Rattus norvegicus: one gene and its partner. The protein of the gene in region 1 binds, or shares a complex with, the protein of each later gene. Links are inferred from orthologs where the notes say so. Each region holds a gene or a part of one and is shown in the gene's direction. Other genes may lie near its edges.

What was found.
Region 2: the proteins of Aak1 (region 1) and Pdlim5 are in contact, whole or in part, in a crystal structure (PDB 9F6S), measured with the Homo sapiens proteins. The link is inferred for Rattus norvegicus from reciprocal best matches to the Homo sapiens genes AAK1 and PDLIM5. Residues at the interface, in NP_055726.4 of Homo sapiens: Asp956, Leu958, Ile959, Asp960, Leu961; in NP_006448.5 of Homo sapiens: Ala12, Pro13, Trp14, Gly15, Phe16, Arg17, Leu18, Phe24, Gln67, Ile70, Lys71.

Annotation. Positions count from the first base shown.
Region 1 is NC_086022.1:120,959,420-120,963,236, forward strand, and holds part of Aak1 (AP2-associated protein kinase 1), read left to right. Parts: intron 1-435; coding exon 436-590; intron 591-1,562; coding exon 1,563-1,888; intron 1,889-3,181; exon of another isoform or gene 3,182-3,817.
Region 2 is NC_086020.1:233,629,261-233,633,077, reverse strand, and holds part of Pdlim5 (PDZ and LIM domain protein 5), read left to right. Parts: intron 1-2,153; coding exon 2,154-2,269; intron 2,270-3,817. UniProt on the Homo sapiens protein: May play an important role in the heart development by scaffolding PKC to the Z-disk region. May play a role in the regulation of cardiomyocyte expansion. Isoforms lacking the LIM domains may negatively modulate the scaffolding activity of isoform 1.

The DNA of each region.
Region 1 (3,817 bases):
ACGTAGGAGAATTGCAGGGAGTTGACAGACCGGCTAGCCTGGTGCATGCAGTGTTGACTAAGATGAGAATCAACACCTAAAGTTGTCCTCTGACCTCCACATGTGCATCATGACACTTGCACGTCTCCCTCATAAATGACCTTGAATCTCCATCGCTTTTCAAGAGTGCTTTGCTGAATATGGTGATTTTGGTTGGGGGTTATGTATTCTCAGGGTTTGAAATGTATCATTCTGTGCTCTCTTGGCTTTAAGGTTGCTGATGACAGATAAGTTATTTTGATGTGTTTGCCTTTGTAGGTGAATTGGCATTTGAAGAAGTGTTGATTAAGCCAGTCTGAATGTTTTGAAGGAGTGTTAAGGGTAAAACATCTTGTGTTCTGCATATCCCCTCTGTTTTCCCACATTTTAACAGCAGTTTTGTTTTTCCTTTTCTAGACTGACAGATCCCATTCCCACCACAGAGACTTCAATTGCACCCCGCCAGAGGCCTAAAGCTGGGCAGACTCAGCCAAACCCCGGAATCCTTCCCATTCAGCCAGCCCTGACTCCTCGTAAGAGGGCCACTGTTCAGCCCCTACCTCAGGCTACAGGTCAGTAACTAGTTTGCAGCTTGTTCCAGTGCTTGATGGTGGTAGTGTCGGAAGGCACAGCCTAAAGAATCATGCCCTGAGCTGCTTGTGAATGTCTATGGCCAGTGGCTGCACAAGGAGGAACTTCTTTCTGTACTCAGATGAGTCTCAAGACCCCTGAAGCCTGTTGTGTGCATTTATTTTCTTACTGGACATCTGGTCCATCCACTCCACCTTATTTACCTTACGTATTTCTCCTTGCTTTTAAAGAAACCAGACTTACTTATTTTTTGTAACCACAGAAGAATATTATTTTATTAATGCTGTGTTTATTAGTACACATCATCCTTTGTGTTCTAGCATTCTGTTATAACAAGAGGAGCGAGCTTTGTTTTATAAAGGGGATTGATCCAAAATAACAAGTCACAGACCACATCTATCACATGTCTTACCAGGAACAATTTCTGATAAATTCAGTGGCCATCTATATAGAGCCAGGCATTCAGATGCTAGTTGTATAAGCTACTCATAAAATATCAAAGAATGCTTTTGCCGCGGTAGACAGGCTGGTACACAGACTGTTTAGTGTCAAATGTTGGCTGTGTGAGGGGAACTAGAGGTGCTGACTGCAGGGCTGGGTGACTGGGTGAGATGGGGGATGAGGGAAACCCTGTGCAAGAGGCAGGTACTGAAGTCTGCAGTTCACCTGGCTTTTGGCAAGAGTGGAAAGCTGTTCCAAGTAGAGCATCACAGATGGCAAAATGGTGAGGAACAGGCAAAGCTTGGGGCAGTCTGCCTACTTCTGCCATTTCTTGTGTAGCAAATCACAAAGTCTTTTTTCATAAGGGTTGTCTATGTAGCCTGTCTGTCCTCAAACTCCACCTTCCTCTCCCAAGTGCTGGGATTAAAGGTGTGCACCACCACTGCCAGGCTTCAGAAAGCCATTTTTGTCTGGTAGAGTTTTGTGCCCTGACATGGAGTTTTTCATTACAGGACCCAGCAATCAGCCTAGCCTTCTAGCCAGTGTTTCCCAGCCTAAAGCCCAAGCCACGCCCAGTCAACCTCTTCAGTCATCTCAACCCAAGCAGCCACAAGCTCCACCCACCCCACAGCAGACGCCTGCTCCCCAGACCCAGGGTCTGCCCACCCAGGCCCAGGCTACTCCTCAGCACCAGCAGCAGCTCCTCCTCAAGCAGCAGCAGCAGCAGCAACAGCAGCAGCAGCAGCAACAGCCACAGCAGCCAACAGCACCACCACAGCCATCAGGCACCTTTTACCAGCAGCAGCAGCCCCAGCAGCAGCAGGCTCAGACTCAGCAGGTGAGGAGCTCTAGATGACCATTGCTTTGTACAGTGGAGTATTAGTATTGAAAGGCCTGCTAGGTGCAGGTGTCTTCCTTGGGATGTGCTGGGATGGCCAAGAGCCACTGATCAATGCATCGTCACTTCTCACAGATGTAGAAACTGAAGCATCTAGGTGTAGTTAATAACTCTCAGAGCTTTCAGTGTTGTCTTCAAGCCTTGGGAATTTACCCCAACTCAGCACTGGTACTGATGGAACTACTTTCTAAAGAGATAGACACAGGGAGAAATAACAATGATGTCCTGGTAACACACAGAATCCAGTAGTTTCAAGTTGTTTCGGTTGTTGCAGAGTTTAAGTTTGCTTGGTTGGATCAGGAGTCAAACAAGGTTCATGTACTCTATTTAGTTGGGATATATTAATTTCCATTTTTTACATATTTATTTAACTTTGAACATATATATTTTATAATGATTGATTTCTTTTTTAAAAGTAGTGTGTGTGTGTGTGTGTGTACATACATATATATTTGGGCAAATACACCTGTGAACACTCAAAAGGCAAGAGGAGCAATGGATCGACTCTAAATGGAATTTAGAATTACAGACATTTGCAGGACACCCGGATTGTTACATGTGTGCTGGGATCTGAACTCCAGCAAGCACCCCTATCCACAGAGCCAACTCTCTAGCCACAGGGAGAGAGATCGATAGTCTTTACCTCCTTTTATCTCCTTTGCCATTTTTATTTATTTAAAGAAAGTGAATTCCTTGTTCTTGGAAACTCTTCTTATTATGAACTTGACTTGGTTACTCTTTGTCATTTGGTATATTCCACTGTGTGTGTGTGTGTGTGTGTGTGTGTGTGTGTGCGCGCGCGCTCGCGAGAGAGAGAGAGAGCCCATGCACTATGGTGTGCATCTAAAGGTCAAAGGACAACTTTCAGGAGTCAGTTCTCTTTGTCTACCGTGTGGGCTCTGGGGCTAGAACGCAGGTTGTCAGACTTGGCCACAAATGCCCTGCGTTGCTGAGCTCTGTCAGCAGACTTAAACTGGGCTTTCCGGAGACATGCTCAGCGTCAGTTCAGTCTGGAGTTCCCTGCTCTTCCTGTTCATTCTGATGGGTGGCCAGTGCTGTCTTTCACCATCAGTGTGCTTAGCTATCGTCTGTTTAATTTGGTTTTTGCTTGTTTGTTTGTTGGTTTTTAGTTTTCCTCTTTAGTTTACCAATTATTGCTATTTCCCCAAGTCCTTAAACCTACTTGGGTAGCAAAATCATACTCTCTCAAGTGGGCCTGGGTACTAAACTCACCTTGTCAGCCTTCTTGGTGGCAGGTGCCTTTGCCCACTGAGCCGTCCTACCAGCCTATGCAGAGTTGTTTCTGTCGTCTTAGTGTAGTTACCCTGAGGTCCTGCTTGTACAGAAAAGGGTGAGAAAGATGTTAGGTCTTTTCCTTGTTCACCAGTGTTCATTCAGAGGTAAGAGTGTTTTGCATTGTATTATGTAAGTTTATGGATTTATACATGTCACCATTTTTAAACATACTCAGATTCTCCCTAATTTTAGTCAAATTGGCTTCTGGTTCTCTGGGATGTAACTCACGATTAATGATTTCTCTGCCATTGAGAGCAATGACTGTCCATGATCATTCTGCTCTTTTTTTTTTTTTTTTTTTTTTTTTTTTTTTTTTGGTTCTTTTTTTCGGAGCTGGGGACCGAACCCAGGGCCTTGCGCTTCCTAGGTAAGCGCTCTACCACTGAGCTAAATCCCCAGCCCCGATCATTCTGCTCTTAACTTAGAGTCCTCCATTTCTCTAAAGATCAGATTGTTTTTAATGGGAGTGATATTTAGAAACTTAGTTGGCCCTAGAAATAATTACTTGCTAATTGTCACTATTGGTAATTGTTTCTAGGCCTTTTTAGTAGATACTTGAAAATGTGTTTTTTT
Region 2 (3,817 bases), on another chromosome or scaffold:
AATAACAACAACAAAACTGTTTGTGACTTTGTTGAGACAAACATTTCCAACTTCATTATGAACATTTAAGAAGATTAGCATTCCTTAGGAAAAATATTATGCTTGGATCTCCAATCCTTTATAGATATAAGTTCTACCCAAAACGTAGCTTAAAGGCACAAATTGTAGTAACAGATACCAAGTGCTTATAAGCACAAGAATGTTCACATTCAGATGTTACTGCTCTGCTTTCTAAAGCAGCAACCTTAAAAGTAAGTGTGAAATCCTTTGCTACTTCACTGAATAGGAGAGTGATCCTGGCTTAGATTGCTCCCTGGTAAAGTTATTCTTAATAATTTCGGTTCTAAGCACCTGTCAATCCCGTTTTCTCATCCCAGTGCCCAGCGCTTCCTTTTCCTTTGCACATCTGCAGTGACCTTTCTTATCTTTTACTCTTCATTCAGCTATTGCTTCCACAATGCATATTCCGAAATATGAAACGTGCTTTCCCTTACTCTGCCTCTGTTAACTACCATTAACTGCATTCCCACTGTTGAGTTTTTATCTTACTTTGGACTGAAATTACGAGTGTGGTCCTAGAAACGGGACTTTGCACAGGGATGCAGCTCAGGAAGCTTGTGTCCGAGGCTGGCTCCACACCGCTTGCATTTTCCTTCACTCTGCTCTGGTTCTCACCTTCCCCTCAGCCCCTTAGTTAGGGCAGGTTTGGCTCTGCTCCAGGCTGTCCACCAGGAAGCCCCCAGAACCTCCAATAAAATACGCCATGGGTTGTCAGTAGTAAAGTTGGCTGTAAACTGCTTACCGTTCTCAGAATACCCTGTGTTTTGCAGTGACTTATTTCTTCTGAAGAGAGACTTGGGTTTGTTTAGTTGACTTAGATTGTGAGTTTTAGCAGCTTTGTAAGACACTCTACGTGAGCCAAATCATAGACGTCTGCCTAGCCTATGGTGTTTAATACACTTTAAAGGGAATCATGACATAAAACTAATGCACTGCCTGCAGAGGGGGATTACAATCAAATTTTAGTCTTTTTTCCTTAACCAGTTCTTAGCAGTGGTCCCATCTCAGTAGATGGCTGCACAGCCCACTGTCCAGAGGCCTAGAATTTCTCTCTTTCTCTGTTCTTCCAAAACCCAATCTAACAAGTAGCTTCCGGTGGGTGTTGACAATCGTCTCCATCCATCTCCAGTGTCACCGCCACGCCCAGCCTGCTCTGTGCTTGGACTTCCCAGTAGCAGCTGGGGAGAAATCAGGGCACCCTCAACAATGCCAGTCAGATTGTGTTATGTCCTGTAAAGGATTTCTATAAGAAGGGCACTATTCTCCTTGCTAGAACCTGCTTTGTGGGCTTTTATCTGCTGCCCTGTACATCTTGACCTGAGATCTAACCCACCTTTATTTCTGAACATGGCCGAGACTTTATTTCTCCTAGGTAAGCGCTCTACCACTGAGCTAAATCCCCAGCCCCTGCTCCAGCACCTTCTTACAGTTTCTTCTAACTGATCTCAGTATGATTCTTCAAGTTTCATCATGACTGCTAGATCTCCAGAACCTTCCTGTATAATGTAGTGTAGGCTACCCATTCTCTATCACAGCACTTCTTCCTTCGTTTGTTTGTCAGTCGTCCTTATCCCAGTCTTAACAAAGTCCCCTGAGATGAGCATCCACACCTGTCCTATAGACGCTGAACCTCCGTGGGGCTGGAGCTCTGCCCAGGAGAGTCACTGGATGTGAAGTCAACACTTGGTGCTGAAGCATGTTAGCATAGCACCGCACGTTATAGAATCTCTCCCCTCCAACTTCAGCTATATTGACAGGACTGACGGCCAAAAGCTGGATCATAGGTCAGCACAACAGATGAAATGTCATAAAAGAGGATGAAAATGTGGAAAAGTGTGGGAAAGAAAAACCGTGCATCTCAGGTGTTCTTATTTAATAATAAAGAAAGGACAAGGACCGTCTGCAGAAATTGTCCTGTCTCCCATCAGTGAGGAACTCCCAACCAAGCTGCCTCACTCCCGGGGATAATGCATTCCTCACATCCACCTCAGTCTTAACCTCTGTTAACTTCCATCCTAACCACTGTCTGCTGTGACCCGCAGTTCCAAAGCCTCGCCATGTTTAAATTGCATCTCTCTCCTTACTTGACGCAGACTATTATGCACTTTTTGGAACAATATGTCGCGGGTGTGAATTCCCCATAGAGGCTGGTGACATGTTCCTGGAAGCTCTGGGCTCCACCTGGCATGACACTTGCTTTGTGTGCTCCGTAAGTAAACTGTACTGCCCTGGTCAAAGCTTAGTGCTTGATACCCCAGGGTGGGGGAGTATGGGGATGGGGGTGGGGCTCACAGAGGCAAAGGTGAGGGATGAGGGAGAACTCCGTTAACCTGGAGAGGGAGGGCAACACTTGGGATGTAGATAAATAAGATAATTAATTTTAAAAAAGCTTAGTGCTTAATGGGAGTAACAGCACTTTGGGTTTTTCCATTCCTCAAAGCTAAGGAACAGTGGTTTTTGATGTTCTTAAAAGTTGGATTTGAAATTATTTGGCATATAATAGGATTTTACCCTCTAATGCATTCTTGACTCTAAGGAGAAGATACTTTTTCTTTTTTTAATATGAGTCATTTTCTTAAATTCTTTTATTAAACAGCTCAAGGGGTTTTTTTTTTTTTGATACATTAGATATTTCTTAAATGGAAAAGAAATTATAAAAAACTAGAGAACCAGCAAGATGGTTCAATTTTCCTCCTGACTGATAGAGGTAGCTCATGGATTCTTTTCCTTTTCTTTTTGAAACTATGAACATGGAAGATATTACCTACTTCACTTGTCTTTTTTTAGTGCTTTGGGATTTGGATTGATTTATTTTTATGTGTTTGTATGTATGTGTGTTTGTGTACATGTGTGTGTTCATATGTTTACATGTTTGTGGAGACTGAAGGACAACCTCAAGTGTCACTCTGACAACACTGGCCACCTTCTTTGAAGCCAAGTTTCTCATGGGCTAGAGCTTCTGGCGAGAGATTCCCCAGTTCCCTCTCCTTCCCTCTTGGGATTACAAGCAAGCCCGCCATTTGTAATGGTTTCTCGGGGTCAAACTCAAGGGCTTTACTGACTGAGCTAGCCCCACAGCTTTTTGTAGGGACAGGGTCTCTGTGTTCCCTGACTGATATAGAACTTGATAGATAGATGACGTTAGTCTTGAACTCAGACAGATCTGCCTGCCTCTGCCTCCAGAGATCTGGAATGGAAGGTCTGCATCCCTATACCTAGTGTTCTGACGTTCTTAATGATTAGGATAGATCAGATTAACGTTGGCATGAGGTACTTTCTGTCATTTAGAAGCTAATATTCAGTAGAGCTGTTCCATGACAGTATTTGATTTCTGTTAGCGCTGTTAGATTTAATCATATCTAACACTGTTTTGATACCTGGTGCATAAAAGAATTAGGTAAAGGTGAAATCAAATGATTTCTTCAACCATTACCTTTGAGCTCATCCATATTTTTATTTCATCGTCTTTTAGACTTCATAAAGTTTATAAAGAGCAGCTTCTACATAGTTTCCTTCTCAGGAAGATCTTATGAGCATTGTCAGCTTGCAAGGCAGCAGAAAGAACATGGAGGTGAAAGTGTGGGTAGCAGGATCTTAAAGCCACTCACCAGGCAGATGCTGCCTGCCTAAGACTTTCACGGTAGACTCAAGTTAAATCAGTTCCTTCTTGAATGGATAGTTTGTCCAGGAAGTAAATAAAAACCAGCCTGCTGGGGCTGGAGAGGTGGCTCAGTGACCTCTGAGTCAGGCTCAGAAC